Oreochromis niloticus: one gene and its partner. The protein of the gene in region 1 binds, or shares a complex with, the protein of each later gene. Links are inferred from orthologs where the notes say so. Each region holds a gene or a part of one and is shown in the gene's direction. Other genes may lie near its edges.

What was found.
Region 2: the proteins of bbs4 (region 1) and bbip1 are in contact, whole or in part, in a cryo-EM structure (PDB 6VBV), measured with the Bos taurus proteins. The link is inferred for Oreochromis niloticus from reciprocal best matches to the Homo sapiens genes BBS4 and BBIP1. Residues at the interface, in NP_001069424.1 of Bos taurus: Leu210, Leu213, Tyr236, Leu240, Ala241, Ser244, Gln247, Thr248, Ser269, Pro271, Asn274, Asn275, Met278, Phe281, Gly282, Lys284, Tyr298, Leu299, Pro301, Leu302, Asp303, Trp304, Lys305, Ile306, Tyr308, Asn309, Leu312, Leu315, Thr316, Gln318; in XP_003587939.1 of Bos taurus: Met7, Phe8, Arg9, Glu10, Val11, Leu12, Pro13, Lys14, Gln15, Gly16, Gln17, Leu18, Tyr19, Val20, Glu21, Asp22, Leu28, Lys30, Pro31.

The regions. Positions count from the first base shown.
Region 1 is NC_031965.2:11,057,638-11,069,763, reverse strand, and holds the start of bbs4 (BBSome complex member BBS4), read left to right. Parts: upstream 1-6,706; 5' UTR 6,707-6,761; coding exon of another isoform or gene 6,762-6,821; intron 6,822-9,129; coding exon of another isoform or gene 9,130-9,172; intron 9,173-10,926; 5' UTR 10,927-11,453; coding exon 11,454-11,624; intron 11,625-12,111; coding exon 12,112-12,126. Other genes in the region: scamp2l (secretory carrier membrane protein 2, like), read left to right, coding at 766-895, 984-1,112, 1,537-1,696, 1,891-1,992, 2,477-2,597, 3,207-3,362.
Region 2 is NC_031971.2:30,057,634-30,069,045, forward strand, and holds bbip1 (BBSome-interacting protein 1), read left to right. Parts: upstream 1-6,580; 5' UTR 6,581-6,675; intron 6,676-7,241; 5' UTR 7,242-7,260; coding exon 7,261-7,306; intron 7,307-7,875; coding exon 7,876-8,033; 3' UTR 8,034-8,297; downstream 8,298-11,412. Other genes in the region: pdcd4b (programmed cell death protein 4b), read right to left, coding at 9,054-9,114, 9,209-9,348, 9,441-9,551, 9,767-9,874, 10,368-10,482.

The DNA.
Region 1 (12,126 bases):
AAATAATGAGATCAGACAAGATTAACCGATTTCAGTTAAGTTTTCAAGAAATGGAAGTCACTACCATGCAAAGAAGAATGAGTATATTTATTTTTCTTTACTTGGTCGAATGTAGCTCGAGTGGTAGAGTGGGTCACCTACTAATCGGAAGGTCAATGGGCCAATCCCTGACTCCACATTTGCATTCCTTTGAAGAGATACTGATCCTTGAGTAGCCCCTGATGCATCCACTGGATCGTTAGTGTGTGTGTGTGTGTGTGTGTGTGTGTGTGTGTGTGTGAGAGAATGTTAATAAGCACTTTATCATGAATAATGTATAAATGTGTGCGACTGGATGAATGAGAGGTGTAGTAGAAAGAATTTTGAGTGCTCAACTGAGTAGAAAGTCTGTATCCAAGTCCCGGACCAGTCCATACATAAACAATGCTAAGAAATGCTTCTCTACCACCCACACACTTGCACTCTGATCGGTGCATCACAGGTAATTTATTAAAGGTTCAATGTCTTGCTCAAGGACACTTTGGTATGCAGATTTGATTGGTGGAGGATCTAGCCAACGATCTGCTGGTTGGTAGACAACCTGGTGTACATCCTGAGCCACAGGCGCTCCAAAAGTCATCACATTTTACTGCAGGGACCATCTAGCTTATCACTGCAAGAAAGCAGCACCTTGGATGGTTATATTAGTGCAGTACATGCATGAGGAAATTGTGTTCAACAATATTGAAGACCGTATTAAGATGCAGGTCTGCTATCACACATCAGGCTAAAGCAGCTGCTGCCCAGGCTAACCTGATCAAACAGCAGGAGGAGCTGGAGAGGAAAGCAGCAGAGCTGGAGCGGAAGGAACAGGAGCTAGAGAACAGGAGGGCAGGCAGCGCATCGAACCCCGGAGGTAAGTGGCTGCAGGTATTTGATGTAGTTGTGTTGAGTATGTGTTAAGTCTTAAATGATAATAAGGTTTTTAAATCTTTTCCTGTCAGCTAAAGAGAACAATTGGCCACCTCTTCCAAGGTTCTTCCCTGTAAAGCCCTGCTTTTATCAGAATTTTGAGGAGGAAATCCCAGAGGACTACCGCAGGATGTGCAAGAGAATGTACTACCTCTGGATGTGTATGTACCCCTGCCCTGATTGTAGTATTTTATATGCTAATCACTGACCTAAAAGGATGGTATAGTACATCAAATCTCAGCTTTTAAATTTAAAGATGTATCAAGACTTTCCACTGATCATACTTTTGATGAAGTTCATACTTTTTTCTTTACAAATGAATCATGATTTATAACTTTATCCATTACAAGATACTAGATTGTTTAAAGTCATAATTGCTGCACTAATATGTTAAGAAATACTTTATTTACCCCACATTTGGGAAAGTAATTTGTTACGAAGGAGATAATAATAACCATAATAAAGACACCATTCATGCCTATTAGTTTAAAAGTGCACAGAGGATGGTTCACCAGAACTTTTTATAAGCAGTGTTGTATTATAAGTGTATGTCTGCGTCACTGGTTTTCTTTTGCACCTCTCCAGTCCACAGTGCCACTCTCTTCCTCAACGTGCTGGCCTGCCTGGCTTGCTTCACCGTAGACAATAGCTATGGTGTTGACTTTGGTCTGGCTCTTCTTTGGTTCATTCTCTTCACCCCCGTGGCCTTCGTCTGTTGGTACAGGCCGGTCTACAAGGCCTTTAGGTATGCTGTGTCACTGGTATTGTTTACACTTATGAACTTTAATTCAAGTCTTCAAACTGTAAATGATCTCCAGACTCATTTTTATGACTTCATGCAATTGTGAAACTTAATATCTCTATTATGCAATATGTCAGCAAACCAGTGAGCACCTTCGCATTAATAATGTCCCCTTTTCCTTTTTTTCTCCTCTATAGGTCTGACAGCTCTTTCAGCTTCTTTTTCTTCTTTTTTGTCTTCTTCTTCCAAGTGGCAGTTTACATTATCCAGACTGTGGGGATTCCCCATTGGGGCAACAGGTCAGTGGGATTTATTTATTTATTTATTTTTTCCTACACTACCTGAAAGTGTGGTGGAAGTGCACCAAGATTCTGTTTTTCATCAGTATGAATGTGCATGCTGCTTTGGGATACATTCAGTGTGCATGGACCACCACATTTCTTCATTCACACATGTGTTTGTGTGTGAATTCTTCTCCTGTCTCTCCTCTATTGCATTTCTTTGACAGATTCCTGCTGCCCTAATAAATCTGGGTTGCTGCTTTGTAAGTGTGTGTAACTTTTATTTTGGGATTTCTTTTCTATCATATATAAAGCTCCTCAGGTTTCCATGTGTCATTTTTACAAACTTCATGCTTTACATTTGGTATCTGGTTGTTTGTGTATTTCTCTTTAATCCACAAAAAAAAAACTTTCAGTATAATATAATATACTGTATATAATAATTATAGAGAAAATGTGCAATTACACCTTTTTTCCTCTTGCATGTTTCTGGTTTTGACAGTGGATGGATAACATCAATCACCATGATCAGCAAGAAAAACCTGGCTGTGGCTGTGGTTATGATGGTAGTGGCTGGATTTTTCACTGTAAACTCTGTGCTGGCTATCATCCTGCTGAAAATGGTACGCAAAAGTAAAACCTCTGTTTACATATATTACTTTTAGAGGTAATCTCATTACTTTATTATGAACCTGTCAGGTTTAATATAATGTATCTTGATGAACTGAATAACCCTAAGCAAAGTATTTTAAACATGTTTTAGTTGTTGAGTTTTCTCATTTATATCTGGAAGCTACGTCAAAGACAAACTAAAAATCGCGGGGTGACAAAATGGCTTCAGAGGAAATATTCAAACCAAGTGTGTGTGCTGAATGCACTTACTCTACAGACTTTCCTCCATGTAGAAGTTCCTGGAGTGTCTTTTGGTTTATAAAGACGATAATTCATTAGAAAGTGGACATAATATTTCATCTTAATGCAAAAAGTGGGGGACAAACAAATACAACTCTTAAAACAATAATCTGTTCCTTGGCTCATAACTCTCCACTAGACATGTATTGTATTTTCAGATATCCTCCTCACTAACAGATGAATGAAACTGAACTCATGATCTCCTTTGTAGACATAAGAACCATGGCCTGAACCTTACAAGAACCAGCAGGTTAAACACGGTTTCATCATTTGATCGCCTGTCATTGTTTACAATTTTCTGTCTTTTCCTATCATCCCAGGTCCATTCTAAATACAGAAACACAGGTGCCAGCTTCACCAAGGCCCAGCAGGAGTTTTCACAAGGTGTCCTGACCAACCGAACTGTCCAAAATGCTGCAACCACCGCTGCTACCTCCGCTGCCCAGGGAGCCTTTGGCAGGAGCCAGGAAAATTAGTGATTTCTACAAGTTTTGTGTCTCTGGCTATTCTCTTTTCTGACCAGCATACCGGGCTAGCCACGTCCCAACATTATCCAGTTGGTGTAAAGGAATTTTTAGGGAAAAGGGCAAAAAGCAAGTAACTTATGAGTATATACCAAGTGGGGTGTCTCCATTCTCCATGTCCACCAAAAAACTAAATAATAAAAAAAAATGGTGTAATTTAGGTAGATGCGTAGCTAAAGACATAAAATCATCTTATAGGAATAGGACCCTACTTTCAGTTAAACTTTATTTGTATAGCATCTTTGATGAAGGACAGTGCAATTCAAAGAGCTTCACAGATGAACTGATAATGGGACGGCACATTAATTTAAAAAAAAAAAAGGTAAAAAGATTATAAAATGCAAAAATAAAATGGATGGAACTTGTAAAGACCTGCACAGATCTCATCAGCATATGTCATATTCATTTATGCTTTAGGGAAATGTCCAGTAGGAAATCTGAAGCTGGGGTTTAGATAGAGGGCAAGGTGAGGACCCCACACAAATAAAATTACAACATTTCATCACTGCATAGCTATTGAAAGCATTTAACAGAGTAGACTAAAGAGATACATGTGAGATTATCTGCAATACAAGAAACACTGATTTAAATCCAGTAATCCTTAAAGATCCCAGTAAAAAGTATCAGGATTTTTCCCTGCTAATGTAGGAATGACATACTGAGGCTTGAAATATAAACTCTTTGTCCAAGTTTGGATTCTCACTTGACATGAGAATGTTTTTTTCCATCTGTGAGCGATGGATCCACTAAATGTTTTTCGCATTACAGCAGCATGCAAAACCTTGCAGGATAACTGTCCTGACTATAAGTGCATTAATACCAATAATACACTTTATGCACAGTTGCCTTCCTCTCAGATGTCCTGTAAAAGTATAAATGATAATAAATGCATACTGTTACATTACTGTGCAGTTTGAACTTTGCTCTCCAAATTTGATGTTTTGATGTGTATATGACAATAGGATGAGCTGCTGATTAATGAAGGTGATGGGATAAAGAGGTCATTTGTACTGTTTTAATCTGTTTACTGATTTTTTTTTTTTTTAATGAAGTGAGGCTTAAAGCTGTTCTTGAAGCAAATGAAGATGTTACATTTTAATTCATGTTAAGAAAACTTGGCATAATACAGAGACTTGCAGTGATTAAAATAAAAGGGGGGGTACGGGTTTATTCATGTAAAGTTATTGAAAGTATAGAATTTGAATGTATTTACATGAAAAGTGCATTAATGAGTAGAAAGAACAATATTTTTGACTTTGTGCCCATGTTAGTTTTACTACATGTTAACTTAATTTCCTGTTTTTTCTAGCTGCACCTACTTGGAATTAGGTTTTAGTGTTTTCATCCCTTTCTCTGTGTGTGTGTGACTGTGTGTGTGTGTGTGTGTGTGTGTGTAAAGTATATAAATACTGTATACTCCTGATCTGATGTTTGTACCTCAGTGCCTTTAAACAGTAACATACAAATCTTTGTGTGAGGATTCAAGTTCAAGGCTGTTAATTCTCTTTTTTTTATCTGTAGCCTGTGGAACAACTGGTGAAGTTTTCTTGTGATCAGAATGTGTTAAGATTATGTAAATATCGGTGACTTATTTAAACATATTTACTGCTGGGGTATGCATTGGAAATCTTAACATTCAATAAACTGTACTGTCTATAAAATTCTGAATTGAAGTCTTGGAAGTGGTCTTGTTAGAAGCGTATTATTATCTATCAAAAGTGGTCCAAGGAAGGAACAGTGGTGAACCAGCGACAGGGTTATGGGCTGTCCTGTGTGGTCCGATCCAACAGGCGAGCTACTATAGCTCAAATTGCCCAAAATATTTAAACGTGGTTCTCATAGAAAGGTGTGAGAATGTCAGTGTCCATGCTGACCCCCTTCCTCTGCTGAACTTCAGCCCAACTTACAGGATTTAAAGAGTCTGTTACTAACATCAACTGATCTTTTATTACAGCACATCTTCATGGGTCTAGTGGGATCCATGCCTCGACAGAAAAAGGGGTGACCAACATAATAATAGGTAGCTGGTCATAACAGCATGCCTAATCAGTGTACATTCTGCCTAATAGACAATGTCATTCTGGCTCATTCACACAAGTTTTAACACATCGCCACAATCTTCCCAGGAGTGGATGTCAGCAAATTTATTTTATTGCAGTGTTTACACACAAGAACTACATTTCAACGTTAAAGTTTATTACAGTACATTTATTAAACAAATATGACTTGCTTTAAGGGTTGCCAGGAGGAATTCTTGGTCTTGAAGAAGAACATGGCAGCACAGCTCTTAGGAGAGATCAGCACAAAACACCTTATACTAAGGAAGGGTGATGATTTGGCCTTGTTTTGCAGCTATGGGATCTGGGCACCTTGCAGTCACTAAGTTAGCCATGAACTCCTCTGTATACCAAAAGAGTCTATAAAAGTGATGATACACAACAGGACACAGATCCCAAGCACAGCATCAATTCTATGAAAAGAAAAGATTGCAATGGCCCGGTCAAAGTCCAGACCTCAACCTGACTGAAATGCTGTGCATAAACACATATCTGCAAACCTCAATGAGCTAAAGAAATGCTGTAAAGAAGAGTGGGCCAAAATTCCTCTGCAATGATTTGAAAGACTGATAAAGTCATACAGAAAATTATTAGTTTAAGTTCTTGCTGCTAAGGGTGATTTTACAAGCTACTGAATCATGTGGTGTACTTATTTATTAAGACTACATAGAATCCTATAGAGTGAAAAAGGTGAAAGATTGCAAATTCGAAACATGAAAAAGCCACAATTCTGGTGTTTGTGTGCCCTGTTTGCATTACTAGATGTATTTTGTTTATAAGCAAAGGAAAAATCTAAAACACACAGAAATATATGGTCGGATTCTGTATACTACACTGACCGTCTTTACTGAGAGACACACATAACCATGGACCTATGATCTCTTGTCACATCCACTGGCAGACCCAACATCTATATATGACCACGTGACTGTTAGAGTTTGCCGACAGTGACGCAGACTGAGAGTAAAGTCAGTCTTAATGGACATCTACCCTGTTAAAGGTGTTGGGAGAAAAATAAAATAAAATAAATAAATAACCTGAACTATAGCTGTGTTTTTGTTTGCGAATGAAACCGAAAATCAGCATTTCATTTTTTTTCTTGAATGATTAATTTTGTGTAGCTAAGCTAAAGTCAATAAGTAGAGGAAGGGGTTGGCTAATGCATTTAATGTGACGTGGCTTTATCAGTAAAAATGGTTCTTAAACCCTTTTTTTGTAAATAAAGTTTTTTTCTTTAATCGGTCCCAGAGCACAAATCCAACCAGCTACGTGTCTGCGCGCCATTGACGTATCCATGGCAACAGCTTCTAGTGTTGATCATCCCAAGATGGCGGACGCGGAAACAACCGCAACGGTGAGTGCGATGCGAGCTGCTCCTCCTTTTCTTGAATAAACACAAACTTGACTCGAAATACAATGAAAGTGTGACACTTCGCGAGAAAGCCCGACTCCAGGTTTTGCCACACGCTTTCTATAACGCTGACTTGAACGTTAGTTAGCTAGGTGGCTAGCCTATTCTAAGTCGGCGCTAAGTTGATTAAGCTGCAGCTAAAGGCAACTTGCGAGACTAATCTCACTCACTCAAGGGCAAATTTAAACCTTAACACTGACAGCTGTAGCTGTGGCAGGGTTGCTGTGGACTGTTTGGGAAGCTTTAGCCCACCCTTAATATACGATAACGTAGAAAACGTTATCAAGCAGCTTTTCATTAACCGGCTTACCACCAATCGCAGTTCTATTATCGCTGTGGCACAATAGCTTTCAGCGTGTAATGAAATGTAGAGAATATCAATAAACTGCTAAGCATCAGCAACCACATCCAAAACAATCCACAAGTGAGGTCAAATATGGGAAGAAAAATATGTGATGCGAGAAGAACTGCGCATGCGTGCATCTACCTGTACATTTCGAAGATAGCAAATGTTACTGTTGTTGCAGTCACTGAACAGAGCATACACAGGAGCACGTTACATTGCAAAAGTTTACCGCTACATCTCAAAAATTTGAATTAAATGTATTCATTTAATATATCTGTCCATTCATCCTTTCATTTAATGGTTATTCGGGATGTGGTGGCAGCAGTCTGGCAGAGACCCCCAAACAGCCCTCTCCCAAGTCACCTCCTCCAGCTGTTCTGGAGGAACACTGAAAAGAGAGAGCAGTCGAGAGACATAATCTCTCCAGTATGTTTTGGTTATGCCTAGAAATTCTGTCCATAGAAGTTATAAACTGAATTGGTGACAAATAGGCAGCTCTTTGTCACCAAGTCTATCCAACCCTACACATTATATATACATTTTTTTATGGTGTATGGAGGGAGGAAGATGACATGTGAGCTTGTGCAGAGCAGTTCAATTCATTCTTTATCTAGCAAAGGCATATACAATTAGAATCAGCTGTAGTCCTGGAGTAGGACATGCAGTACACCATAGACTGGCAGTAGATCTGCATGCTTCTACTCTTTGATTGGGAAATAGTTTTTTTTCCTCTCTCTGTTCATTAGGTCAACACACATGTCATTCAGCTTGTTGGCCCACATTTCCACACAGCCTTTTATCAGTTTTTGAGTGGACAGGATTTTCTGTATTTTGGTGAGGGCTGCCCAAGGATTATTTTACTGTGTACCACACAGTCATGTGAAAAGTCATGTGTTTTTGCAGGACTCTGTGCAGTGCTCTGAGAAACCAAGTACACCCCATGATTCAATAGCCTGTAGAGGTACCATGTAAAAGCAATAACTTGTAATAATTATTAGTAATACTTGTTTGCATGACTTTATCTTCACAAAGTTGCTTCACTTCATTAAGGTTTGTGAGCATTTGTTTATGCACAGTTCTCTTAAGGTCCTGGCAGAGCATTTCAGTCAGGTTTTGGTGTGGACTTTAACTGGACAATTGCAACACCTTGATTGTTTTCTTTTTCAGCCATTCTCTTGCACTTTAGTATGCAGGAGAGTTCGTGATCGACTCAATAACATGGTGCTCAGGCCCTGTGGCTACAAAACACACCCATGGTATTGGTATGAGGTGTTTGTGCTGATATGCTGTGTTGATCTTTACCATACACAGCGCTGTGCATCATGACCAAAGATCTGTACTTTGATCTCATCTGTCCAGTGGACATTTTTCAGAACTTTTGGAGTTTGGTTCAAACCTAAGCTGTGATGCCAGGCTTTCTCCTGGCAATCCTACCAGAAAAGCCATAATTGTTTTTTCTAATTGTGCTGTCATGAACTTTAAATTGTAACATGCAAACTGAGGCCTTTAGAGTCTGAGATGTAGTGCTTGGATTTTTTTTCTGCATTTTCTCTGAGCAGTAAGCATCTGACCTTGGGGTGATTTTGAAGGGACGCCCACTTCTGGGAAGGTTGTTGCATTGTGTTAAAACACACCTGTTTGCTCCAAACCAGCAAACTAAAAGAAAACATCATCTTTGATAGAGGTGCTCACACTTGCCGATGATCAGTTAATTAAGTGCATCTGATTGGCTGGCTGCTACTGACCTTCTTAATTCATATAGAAGAAGTAAGGATCGATGTAGCTTTTCACAGGTCTGCATAGAGTCCTGAGAGTCCTGAGGAAGCTTTTCTTTTTCACTTGACTTTCAGACTCCTGTTTGCTGTTATTTATTTTTCTGCTTGTGTTGTTTGTCACATATTTCAGCTCCCTGTTGCTACTGAACCCAAGAAACGTCGGGCGCCTAAAGGTACAGTGAAAGTACTGCAGGTCATGTTCTGAAATTAATTGAATTATTTTCATGTCGTTGTGTGACATTCATTTTTTTAAAATTCATTTCTAAAAGTTGGTTAAGTGTTGATAACTGAAACTAAAGGTTTTGGAAGTGAACGGCCTGCAGAGGTCACCCTCACCCTTCTGTTTGTTTCCGCTGTAAGGAACAGGCTGTGGCTACATTATGCTGCTGAGCCATTTTCCAGATATTTCTCTGTGTAGAAAATGTCTGGTGATCATTAGAGGATGTTTTGTCATCATTATTGAAGCCTAATGTGCCATTAAATAGTTTATACTTCTGCCCACAGATATTTTGTCTTTTTTTCTTTTATAGTGCTTTGTAATAATAATAATAATCAGAGCTACTGAGAATTGCATCTCTGTGGAAGCAGTTGAATACATGCTATGATGTGGTAATGATAATTTTTATTTAGCATGCAAACCCTTTCCTGGGTTGTACTTAATATGATTCGAAGACACACCCCTGTTCTAACTAAGTTAAAAAAAACAGAAAGTAAAGATTGGATTTTAGGAGACGAATACACATACACCAATGGGAGCAGACTTGAAAACAACCTGAACGCAGAGGAACTTTAAAATTGAGATGCAATGTTTTAAAGCCGCTGCTGAGTTAAAAATAAAGTGGCAGCTGGGTGCATGAACTTCACAGATTCATCTACAGGGAATTGTGACTTCATTATGCCTCATACAGACTGTATACGCAAAAATAGTTCTATAAAAAGTTCTCCAAATGCAAAGTGTGTTAAAGTATATATCAGCCGATTTTTGGCACTTCATCACTGAAACTTGGGATCACGACTGGAATAAAACAGTCACATGCAAGGACTGATCCCTTTTGCAATGTAGACATTTAAAGATTTGACATAATCAAGCAACGAGACATAAACCTTAATTGTGTCCATAAATCACAGTCATTCTGCAGTTACCATCGTGAAATGTAATTATGGTTATTTAAGGCATACACAAATTTACCTTTGCTATGCAGAGTAGTATGCAGAGTATATTATGTTAGATTTTGAGGACGGCAGTTTGTGCATTCTTAGTGTTAATACCTGACAGGTGTTGTGCAATGGAAAGATCTAAAGTAAATTTTAAAAAAAATAGTACAGTATGTTAGATTTTAATAAAATCCAGTGTGAATTTCTTGACTCTAATGTAGCAGTCTGCCTTATTTTTTTCAGGATACTGACAGTCATTTCTGGCACATTCCTGATAAAGGAAAAAAAAAAGTGTCAGCATCTTGATGTGAGACTAAATGACTTGACAAGATGAAGGCTTTTTTTGGAGGGTTTTTTTGTGTGTGTGGTTGAACTTCCAAAAATAATATTCATCATATTTTTCATTACGTTCTCCCCATGTGTCTTTTGATCTCAGCATGCCTCTCCTCTGCTCTTATCCCCTTTTAACAGATGGTTGAAACACATTGAGGGCAAAGCTGCCTTAGCTTCATCCAGATCAAATATAACAATGAGAAAACTCTCTCTTTGCAATGAAGTTTTTCACATTACTATATTTAGGAGACCTCGTGCTGGGCTGTTCTTCTGTGCTTCTTTCTATCCTTCTCTCATACAGTAGTTGTAGGAATACACGTTACCCATGTATCCCATCACTCCTCTCCAAATTCTGCCTTGCTTTATGTATGTGGACCATAGAGCACCGCAGGACCACAGCTGAAACCCAGAGACAAGAATATTATTGCTGTCTCAGCAGGAAGAAAGCGGATTAGGGTCCCTACAAATAGGGCCATTCCCAGTCTTGACGTGGCAAACGTGTGGAGCCCGTGCCGTTTCACAGTCGGCGATGGAGTGGATTTCCGTGAAGTATCTGGAATGGGCTCAAGTTCTAGCAGCAGATCGGCAAAGCTCTTCTTGAGGCGATGAAAGATAAAAACAGAGGGGAGCTTTGGTGTAATTCACACTGTATATTTTTTTTTTTAACACTCAGAGTTCGTTAACGATACTCACCCCCCCACCAGTGTCAATGGTAAAGCCTAGCACTGTATTTCACAATGCCTTCAATCCTATTTTTAGCCTCAGAGGAAGGTAGTAGGTGCAAGATAACGGGATTACCAGAATCAGACTCGCTTGAATTGGAATTATGTGTGTTTCCTTGTAAAATGAAATGTTGTACTCCACTGGGAAGAGGACTTGGAGGCGTTGTGGTTCGGTTCTCGAGGTTACCTAACCCTTTCTAAAGCTGGCTTTACATTGTTCTGCTCATTCCTTCAGCCTCCCTCTATGACTCTGTCTCTATACCCTCGCTCTTCTGTCACAAGCACCTGGCTTGCGAGAGACATTGTTGCCCTGGCAACAGGGAGAATATCTCAACCTGTCGAGACATTAAATGAGAGACACGGGGGAGAGGAGGGGAAAAAAAGCACAGTTTGTAACGCAAAACTTGCTTACAAGGTGACATTTACAGAGTGGCTGGTGAATTGATTACAGTTTAGCCTGGGGTTTCTGGTTGAAGTGTTAACATCTATGTTAACTGTCACATCAAAGACTTGCTAGCAACTGCATGGGGAGGCTGCTTTCAGGATTATTTATTCAGCTGTCAAATTAGAAAAGATGGCATACATTAAAAATAGTTCTAATAGACATTACTCTTAATAGGCTGAGCCATCTGTTCATAAGAAAAAGAAAAAAAAACTGCTAACGAGCTAAGATTTGCGGCATGCCTACTCGGTGACTTGACTTAAATTTAGCCTGTGGATTTAGGTTGCAGTGTTACATCTGTGTTAACTGTCAGATCAGAGACTTACTAATGACTGCAAAAGGAGGGCTCTTTAAGGATTAATCACTGAGCTATCAGCCAAATAAGACATCATCTGCACAATAACATGCTCAAAAGTTCTTGTTTTTTTCCCCAAAATCCTTATTCATTTGTAATATTTAGATTTTTATGCTGTTC
Region 2 (11,412 bases), on another chromosome or scaffold:
AATATAAAATCTGCAGTGAAAAAGTAGCCAGAAATGCACAAGAGATATTGCTGCGTCGACACAAAGTGTAGTTACATTTCTAGGAAGCTACACGTCAGGTTATGGTGTAGAGTTTCAGAAGGGTTTGTGGTTATGATGTAGCTACAGAGTAGATTTCCTGCTGAGGCATAATTTCCCGGTCAGCAGTTAGCAATAAGCTAGCTAGCTTTTTTGGCATCTGCTACCCCATGGCTCGCTATGGTACCTTTGTGTTAATATAAAACACATTACAGCAGCCAATCTCTTTCTAAAAAGACTTGGATGAGGGTTCATTTGTTCTTAAAAAACAGGAAAAAAGTGCATTCATATTCAGTTAGCAGACACTGAAAACAGACAAATCATAACCAGGTCAGCAATTAATATGTTATGTGGTCTGAGTTACGTGTAACCAAAAGGTTCTATATCCCAGGCTTAATCCTCATAGTGAAACCTTACTTGGCTCATCTGTAAACCCCGAGGCTATAGTACACACCAAGATTATCGTTATTATTTTACACCTCAGTCTAAACATGCGCTACACATACTGAGGTCTAAGAAAAAGCCATAAAACATGTACAATGACAACATAATTTTTGGGGGACTGTTCAACCTAAAGACAGCACACACATACGGAAAAGGTTTGGTCAGTTGTCAGAACTAGGATACTGTTAATGCTGTGGTACTGGGTGTGCTTAGTCAGACCAAGAAAGTCTAGTGTACTAAGGATAAACGCAAACCAACTTGCTCCTGCTACGCAAACATGGCCCAGTGGGTGTTAACATTGCAGTAAGCCTACAACCCCACCTAAGCAATCATTCAACTACTTAGCTAAACCCTACAAAATCCACAAAAGAAAGACAATTTTAACTGGATACATATGACTGGAAAACCTAATTAGTCAACAAAGGACAGTCATAACTTTATGTGAAATTATGCAACTACTCAGCCAAACCTGTCTGATCAGGATGGTAAATTATGGATGAGCCTTTATATCACCCTTCACAACTGACTGATATGCTCATGTGTGAATGTGTGTAAGCTGAAACTACTTGTTTAGCCAATGTAAATATGAGGCTGAACTCAAGCACGGTTTTGCAGAAAAAGCTAATGCATTTGTCCATCAACACAACCACAACACCACCATAAAGTGCTATTTGAACTTCCCACATGGACTAATGAAGTTATCCATTAAGGATATCTTGGGCCCATCTGCTAATGTCAGTACATTTGGGCATGAGTGGAACTGTTCTCCCTTGTTTGTCCATTATAATCCCTTTAGGATCAGATGATACATGTGCCGATATATCAGCTAATTAGAGAATGCAATAAAGCACGTCCGAAGCAAAGAAATGCTTCATAGTCAGATTCAAGAAATACTCAGTCATTTGCTTGCTGGTACTTCACAGTAAGTTGAGGCCTGTCAATATAGAATCTCCGTATGATAGATGGACGCAAAATTGCACAACAGGAGTGAGGTGGCAGCTATCGCTGTTGCCACTAAACAGAACTCCACATGACCCCACTAGGTTGGTGGCTACGTGTGCAAATGGCAAACCCCTGGAAACAGACTACCGACACAAACGGTAGCTACCAGGTCGAGAAGTCAAGTCGCATTTCAATATAATCCAATTTCCATGATATGAACACCTAATATGGGTATGACAGGGTATTATCAGTAATGTGAATGTAACACCTTGACGTTAATAATGCTACGTTGTGACTGTTAACCTAACACCACAAGCAAGACAACTATTTGTCGTAAACCAACTCGAGTAGGCTAAAATGTCTTATGTTAGCTAAGCCACTCATGAAACTAAAATACACAATACAGGTCGCAAAGTCTTTTCTTAAACTGTGAGAAACATCAGCCTGCTAAGACGACTGACAACAAGGCAGGAAATAAAAACAGCTAAGCTGAGCGTCAACGGCACGGCAAACGTCAGTTATGCCAGACTGCTAAATTGCTACCGTCAGCTAGCGAGCAACTTAGCTTACAAGCTAACGGTACTTTTTTTTCCAAACAAGGAAAATCAAAACAGCTGTCATTAGCACATAATGCAATAAAGGACCATTGGTGTGTGTTTGCTAGACCGTGCAGAGAGAGTGTCGAGATTTGCCCTAATACTCACACCCAGCGCTTAGCTTAATCATTAGCAGAGATGTGTGTGTATGTGTATGTGTGTGTGTGTGTGTGTGTGTGTGTGTGTAACGCAGGCCCGAGCCGAGCGGCTGTCGGACGCAGACCGACCCGACCGAAGGGGGGGAAATCTCTGCTGTAGCCAGCTGAGTGCATACGGGTAGCAGATACCCAAAGAGAACATCCTGTGAAGGCGTGAAGGCAGCTGATATCCCGACCCGAGCAGCCACGCAAGGACACCGAAGAGCCGACAACCTGTAACGCTGAATCTAAGCGCCGTTCCCGTTGTGAATATGAGCCGAGAAAAAAGAAAACAGTGAAAAACAGCGGCCATTCCGAAGCTGAACAAAAGAGTGCGTTCGTACTCGCCACCGCAAAATGACACATCGGCGTTACACACGCCTTAACGAGAGGTTGATAAGTACGTTAGCTCTAGAGCAATGCGTTACCGTGCTGTGGGGATAAAAACGTCCACTGTTAATGTAATAAAATAACTGCTTTACCTTCAGAGGTGTGACTCCGCCATCCTTGCTGCTTCCTCCTCTTTTCCTACACTGCTGCTCTGCTCCCCTCCCTCCCCCGGTCACCAAACTGCGTCATTCACACGCCTAACCAATGTTATCACGAGACTTTGAAATGCAATCAAACGTCCATTATTTTACAAACATTTATCTGTGAAAATCAATCTGAGATAATAATAATGATTGATTACAAACCGGAGCATTAAAATAATGTATTGAAAAGAAAATTAAAAAAGAAAACCAACTCATACAAGTCTCTGACTTTTATTAATTGTAAAAGTGTGCAAATACATTCTCAAAACAACTAAACACAGATGACTGTTCTTAAAAAAACTGAGCGGATTTTTGTTTTAAATTTATGTTACGTCTCTTTTTTTTTACACTTATGAAAGTTTTCTGAGTTTTCAGCTCCTGAAAACGCCCTCTCCTGGAGCCGAAAACGCCCCCTCATAAGTGTAAAAAAAAAAAACCCTGCAGCCACTTGGGGTTTGTGGCCACTTGGGGCTGGGTCCAAAAGTTATTCAATCCCATGTTAAAATACACACAGCAAAATGTTTAGACTTGCAAAACAGATGCAAAATAAAATCAAACGAATAAATAAAAGAGTTCAATGTACATTTAAAACAGTACTACAAGAGGCAGTTCTATAATTGTAACCTATACACTGGGCCACCTTTACAAATACAAGACAGATTCAAGCATCAGCAACCTAATTTAAACCACATCATGAACCCATCTGCATAATCAACAATACAAGCATGGTACGATCACAGAGAAATATAGTCATAAAGCTATAAAGGTGCAAAAATATCTGCATTTATGGCATAGTGCACAATATAGGAGAGACTCTCTCTAGATGCAGAAAAGGATTAATGAACTCACCAAACAGTAGGATACTTGTGAGTCCAGAATATATCAGCGCATTTCAGTTTGTTTTGCAACCTTTGACTGAGATCATGCTTTTAAACCTTGTTGCGCAAGCTAAAAAAAAATGGCCTCTTTTTTTAGTCTCATTTAGACATATGGGGGTTACTCCAAACACTGTGAATTGCATAAGCCCATGCCCTACAAAACCATTTCTAATGCAATTGCTGTAGATCCACTACGGAGCTACTATTAACCAAATAATTAACATGAGTGTGATTGTTACTGCAATAACTTACTGGTGATGCGAGGGGGCAGAGGCCACACAGTTATGGATGGGACTGTTAATGCCACCCTTTCATTCTATATGATAACTTCTGGCTCCACAAAATAACATGGCAGCAGACAAAATACTTATGCTAGCTTTCATAATGGGGAGTACAAAAACCAGTGGTCATGTCTATGTTTTATATACAGTGTGTTATTTTTACACATTCAATTTACAGTGAATACAATTTACAGATGACAGTGGAAATATACTGCTCAAAAAATAAAAAATAAAAACAATAAAGGGAACACAAAAATAAGACATCCCAGATCTGAATGAATGAATATTTCTATTAAATACTTTTTTTCTTTACAAAGTTGAATGTGCTGACAACATTATCACACAAAAATTATCAATGGAAATCAAGTTGAGCAACCCATGGAGGTCTGGACTTGGAGTCACACCAAAAATTAAAGAGGAAAAACACACTACAGGCTGATCCAACTTTGATGTAATGTCCTTATGACAAGTCAAAATGAGCCTCAGTGTGTGTGGACTCCACCTGCCTGTATGACCTCCCTACAATGCCTGGGCATGCGCCTGATTAGATGGGGGATGGTCTCCTAAGGGATCTCCTCCCAGACCTGGACTAAAGCATTTGCCAACTGCTGGACAGTCTGTGGTGCAACGTGGTATTGGTGGATGGAATGAGACATCATGTCCCAAATGTGCTCAATTGGATTCAGGTCTGGGGGATGGGCATGCCAGTCGATAGCGTAAATGCCTTCATCTTGCAGGAACTGCTGACACACTCCAGCCACATGAGGTCTAGCATGGTCTTGCATTAGGAGGAACCCAGGGCCAACTGCCCCAGCATATAGTCTCATAAGGGGTCTGAGGATCTCATCTCGGTACCAAATGGCAGTCAGGCTACCTCTGGCGAGCACATGAAGGGCTGTGCGCCACCCCCAAAAGAAATGCCAACCCACACCATTACTGACTCACTGCCAAAATGGTCATCCTAGAGGATGTTGCAGGCAGCAGAGCGTTCTCCACGGCATCTCCAAACTCTGTCACGTCTGTCACATGTGCTCAGTGTGAACCTGCTTTCATCTGTGAAGAGCACAGGGCGCCAGTGGTGAAGATGCCAATCTTGGTTTTCTCTGGCAAATGCCAAACGTCCTGCACAGTGTTGGGCTGTAAGCACAACCCCCACCTGTGGATGTCAGACCCTCGTACCACCCTCATAGAGTCTGTTTCTGACCGTTTGAGCAGACACATGCACATTTGTGGCCTGCTGGAGGTTATTTTGCAGGGTGCTCCTCCTTTTCCTCCTTGCACAAAGGCAGAGGTCCTGCTGCTGGGTTTTTACCCTCCTATGGCTTTCTCCTCGTCTCCTGATGTACTAGCCTGTCTCCTGGTAGAGCCTCCATGCTCTGGACACTACGCTGACAGACACAGCAAACCTTCTTGCCACAGCTCACATTGATGTGCCATCCTGGATGAGCTGCACTACCTGAGCAACTTGTGTGGGTTGTAGACTCCATCTCATGCTACCACTAGAGTGAAATCACCATCAGCATCAGCATTCAAAAGTGACCAAAACATCAGCCAGAAAGCATAGCTACTGGGAAGTGGTCTGTGGTCACCACCTGCAGAACCACTCCTTTATTGGGGATGTCTTGCTAATTGCCTATAATTTCAACCTGTTGTCTATTCCATTTGCACAGCAGCATGAGAAATTGATTGTCAATCAGTGTTGCTTCCTAAGTGGACAGTTTGATTTCATTGAAGTGTGACTGAGTTGGAGTTACATTGTGTTGTTTTAGTGTTCCCCTCATATTTTTTGAGCAGTGTATAAAAGATCCCAAACATTTTTTGTGTTGAGTTTTTGTGTTTTATATAACAAACAACTTGTTAAGCTCTAGAAATATTTTTAGTTTCGCATAGATCCTAAGTGAGAGTAGATCATTCTAGATCATATTTTCACTTCATGATCATTGTGGCAATAAAAAAAACCCCTATAACAATATTAGATTATATCAGTGGAAATAAGAAGAAAGCGATTATGCACGGACACAGACTATATATTTGTTGCAACCATGACATCCGTACTTGAGAGTGGTTATACTACAAACTAATAATGCTGTCAAGTATTCATTCAAAATTGTATTTTAAGGTACTCATTTTTTATATCCCACTGAAACATATATAAATTACTCTGAAGGTGAAATAATGCTTTTCATCTGCAGTAATTTCCCCCGACAGATCTAATATTTTTTGTTTAAAAATGTGAGTACGCAACACACACTTTCAGTTATTTGCAAGCCAACCAGAAGCCATCTCTCTACATATACAGAGACATTACCAACCTATATCAGTGCAATAAGTGCAAATAATTATTTTCCTTCTTCTGGCTGGTCTCTTTATGGTTCACTAGTGGATCATCATGCCTAGCATCATCTTCTGTCACACCAATTAAGTCCTCCCTCACTACATCAACAAATCTTCTGGTCTTCCCCTTTTGGTCTTCTTTTCTTTCCTCCTGTCTGGCAGCAGTCTTGTCTCTCTAACTTTGTCTCCAATATGCTTAAACTCAACTACCTCTGCTCCTTGCAGCTACACTGTCACACATGTTCTGTCCAAAAATAAAAGTACAAAAAAAGTGAAGCGTGAGACGCTCAATGACCCTATAATGCCTGCTTCATAGGGTCAAACATTATTAAAGTTATTGAGTTTTGCTATTCTGCTAGCTGCCTGTAGGTGCCAGTAAAACACTGTTCAAATTAAATAGACAACAGAAGAAAATCACGTGATTCTTGCGGACGCGTTGGCTTGACAACTGTAATCTTTACCTGGTGCTGAAGGTGAGAAAAAGATTTCCATTTTACATATGCCCGTGTGGGTGAATAGTATTGATTTGTTTCTACTGTTGTGCATTGTTGAGACATAGTGTCTTTGGATTAGAGTGCGTTCGCTAAAAGCAAAGGTATCGTTAGTTTAGCTGGAGCTGAGCTTGTGTAGCTAGCATACGCATTGTGTTGTTTTTGTACATTTTCAGACCTTTATGCCTTTGAAGCCAAGGAACAAAAGTTTCTATATAAAAGTGGCCGACGTTGTTCATTAGGTGCAAAGTACCCTGAAGCACAACACTGAATAAAGGTGAAAATGTAGCATATTGCAATAGCCAGATTTTATAAATGCATCACAGAGTAGCTGCTGCTATTGCGACTGTGTACTGACCTGTGGCTAACCGCTGATCAGTTTATTATAAACTATGTAATGCCCACTATAAAACTAACAGGCTCCTTGAATTTTGCATTCCCTCTCGAGCGGAGAGCATTTAATGATGCTAAAACTACTCGGAATTTATGAATATGTGTCAAAAAGTTGAGTTGAGAAAGTGAAATGTCCAAATATGCTTACCTTTCAGCGAGCACTCAGAGGACACCATGCCAGAGGTCAAATCAATATTCAGAGAAGTTCTTCCTAAACAAGGTTTGTACCAAAGCTATGTGGACAGCAGTAGTTACAAAAGTTTGTTTGTGGCTCTCAAGACAACACGTGAACTGAACTGAAATTTCACAATACCTTGGAGATTTAATCAAGATACGCTCTGTGGTCTCTCCTGAAAGTCTTTTCTGGCTTAAAAATATAATTGGGGTCAACATTTGGGACAATATTGCATTTCTTTAGTTAAAGGTGTACTGCTTGTTAGTAAGAACAAGCTGTTCAGTGGCTCACAATCAGATGTGTAAGATGCCAGATTGGTAACTAGTTGACCAGATATCAAAAATATTGTTGAATTCATCCGGAGTGGTTGAAAAGATGTAAGAAGTTTATAGATGTAGCATCGTATATTTGAAACGCCTTTAAATAGAACAGTAGCTCTGTTTGCAGTACTATAAAGGTTAAAGTGTAAAGAGAACATTTCTCACAGCTAATGTGCTGCAGACTTTTGTGAGAAATACCACACATGCTAGGTTTTTACATTATATTTTCATTTATGCTTAAATTAATTAAGATTTAATCATTTGTGGATTGTTTTAATCCCCCCCACCTCACAGGACAGCTCTCCATGGAAGATGTCCCTACTATGGTTTTGTGTAAGCCAAAGCTGCTCCCACTCAAATCAGTCACCCTTGAGAAACTGGAGAAAATGCAAATGGAGGCTCAAGAGGCTGTTAAACAACAGGAACTGGCAATGAAGGAGCAACTACAGTAGATACCCAGTGGAGGATTGGAAAAAACAGAAATGCCTAAACTGGAAAAAATCCTTCAGATGGATCAAGCAAACGCACTGATTCCAAGCACTGGAATGTATTTGTATGGACTTGGAGGGAATCTGGCTTTACAGAGTTTTAAAAACAGTGTGTTTAATCCCTCTTTCTCCCTTTTGAAAGTCTTGCTGTTCTGTAGTTATTATTGAATGATCTACGACATGTAATTAGCAAAGATTACATCTGTTACTTGCCAGTAGGGGTAGTGAGCTACTTATGTACTATAAAGTGTTATATTATTATGATTATATCTTTCCGATAACTGCTTATTTAAGTTGCAGTATGCAGTTAGTACTGTGTGTTAAACAGACAAAAACAGATGAAATGATTTCATAGTGATTTAATCAACAATCAAGGAGCATCAGGGTGTGTCTCTCACACTCCTTATTCCCCAAATATAAAAATAAACACTTTTAACACACCACTTTGTGAAGTTACCTGATCGGTATTCATTTTTGCACAGAACTCATGCCACGGATGTGTGTGATTAAAGACTGAAAACCTAGCACAGCATAGAAACAGCAGCTAGTTAGGAAGCCAGTATTGCATTGAACCAACAAACTCCCTTTTATTTTATTTTATTTTTAATACATTTTTATAAAGCTCTTGACACAAACCAGTCATGTCGATACAAACACTGCTTTCTAGAAAACACAAAAGGAGTGGCAGTGAAACCAAGAAAATACTGTACAAAACAATATGGAATGACTGACACGGAGAGGTGTGGCACTTTAAGAGCTAGCTTATGTAAATGTTTATATTGAAACACCTTGGAGAGAGTGATCTACTTTAGTTTCAATCACAAGTGCATTTTTTTTTTTAAATTACCCTCACCTCAGTTTTGGAAATGTACCTTCTTTTGACCATTAGAAAGGAGAAAAACCATTTTCAGGTACTTTGAAAAATATGCAAGTAAAAAAGTAGCTTTATGTTTTTTGGGGTAATCTGGCACACAGAAAGTCTTCTCAGTAGCTTTCAAGTTTGACAACACCACCGTCTCCCTCGCTGACATACCTCTTACGGCCCCTGAGAGAAGATCAGAGCAACAACATGATTAAGAAAAACAGAAGCGAATCTCTGGAGGCAAGTGTCAGATGTGTGTGAAAACCAGCGAGCTTACCGACAGGGACAGAGATCCCTCAACTTTACATCAATGATTCCCATGCCGAAGCTCTTGTCAACAAACTGCTCCAGGATAAAGTATGCACGAGGGACATCGATGTTAATTTCAGCGATGTCCATGTAAACTCTTTGATAGCCCTACAAGAAAAAGAAAACCCTTTGACTACAAAAAAACCCCCCCCAAAAAAACAAAGAGTAGTGCATAATTCAGACACCAGGTGGCACCATACCCTTCTCATTTGGTCCACAGTAATGATGGAGGACACAGAGAGTGACTTGAGTAGCTGCAGAACCATTTTGAAAGTTTTCTCTCCATTAGACTCCAACACCATCACTATCGCCTGTGATACACAGAGATAGAAAAATTTGCAATCTTGTGTTAATACTCGGAGTACCAGGAGCAGTTTGACTGAAGACCACACAATACAACAGTAAGGGTGTAAAGCTGAAGAAATCCCCTCCAAACAGATAAAATGTTTTAGTAGTTTTATAACATTTTACATTTAGACTGCATTTAACGTGTCTGCTACTACATCAAGCGTAGCCATGAATTTACCTCATAGACAAACTCGTGATGGAAATGGGGAACCTCAAGATCCCTGAGGCATCGCTCAGCCTCCTTGCTGTCACCAGATAGGATGTACTCCTTCAGAAGAAGGTTCATCTGGCATGACAGAATACAAATGAGAATTTTTGTTATGGCAATATCCATACTGCAAAAAAAGAGCTGCACAAAGAAAAAAAAAAAAGCAGGTCTACTACCATCATGAAAGTATGATCTGTTATTTTGAAGCATTATCCAATTTCACTTGAAAGTGATGAAAACCGAAATATTTTACACACAACTGCTCAAAAGTTCTAAAAAGGGTTTTGTTTTTGATACTTTTACTTCAACAGTTCTTTCCTTTTAGACCTCTTAACGTTTCTCGAACACATGACTGCTATTTTGAAAACAATGAGACCAGGCAGGACCGGTTCATCAACATAGCACGGTTTGCGTTTGAGGAAGAAGTTCTGCAAACTCCCCCTTCCAATAGATGCTGAAGACTGTACAGTGCTGCTTCAGTTTCATTAAAGCTTTATAATAAGAACCAATTACAATTCAGAAAAACTGCTTTCATTTCAGAGTGTACTGGATTCTGCTTTACATAACCTACCTCTTTGATGAGCTGTATGACTGGTTGCTGGCCTCCACCTGTCCCCCACTGGCTATCTATGCGAAGCCCACCCATACTCATCTTCAGCAGCACGGCTGCTCGGTCTAGAGCCGCCCTGAGAAGAAAGCGATACACACAAGGTTTATAAAACTTTAACCTAAACTCTCTCTCCTTGTTGTGGAGAGTTGCTTGTAATGTTTAAGAGAGGTGGTGCCTGAGTAGAGCATGCTGGAGGCAACGCACATGATGCACACTTCCTCACTGGGAACTTTAAATGCTCTACTCTCCATCTATTTTTATCCAAACAGCAAGCTAGCAAGGAAAATTGGACATTTGCATTCTTAGATATAACTTGGACAGGCAATATGCAGCACAAACTTTTAAGGGAAAGGAGTCATGCAACAGATGCTCTGATCCCAACAGAGCCCTGATCACAAAAACCAGGAGTCAGTCTGGGATTACATACAAACACGGGCACTGAGACAGGCTTCATTCAACCAACCTGCCCCAAACACCTTGTACACTGTGAGAACTGGTGCACTTTCAAAAGCAAACTATGATCCCAACATTTTATTTTTGATTAGATATTTTTTTGTTTTCCTTTTTTATAAATGCACATTTTTATTCAGTTTCTAGATAAGCAATATAAATGGCAATGTTTTTGAAAGCATCCTCAGATCACTGGCAAAAACATTTCAAACAATACTGTTGGTATTAACCTGCTGCTCTCCAATTAGAGGACAACAAGAACAGCTGATCACAAGGCTGAACTAAATCCTCTTTTCTCATGAATCACATTGACTTATTGCATTATTCCAACAGCTATAATTACCCTGATCTCTCAAAATGCAAATGGTGCAGAGAAACATGTAACTAACCATTAAAGCAATATAATAAAAGCAGCGTATTCTGGGATTGAAATCATTTTATTGCTAAAGGATTTGACTATATGAGGACATCTTTAATTTCTGTGATAAACACAAAAGAAAATTTTATTCCTTTTTGACTCCATGAACTTTTTAAAAACAAAGTTAATGATTTGGAC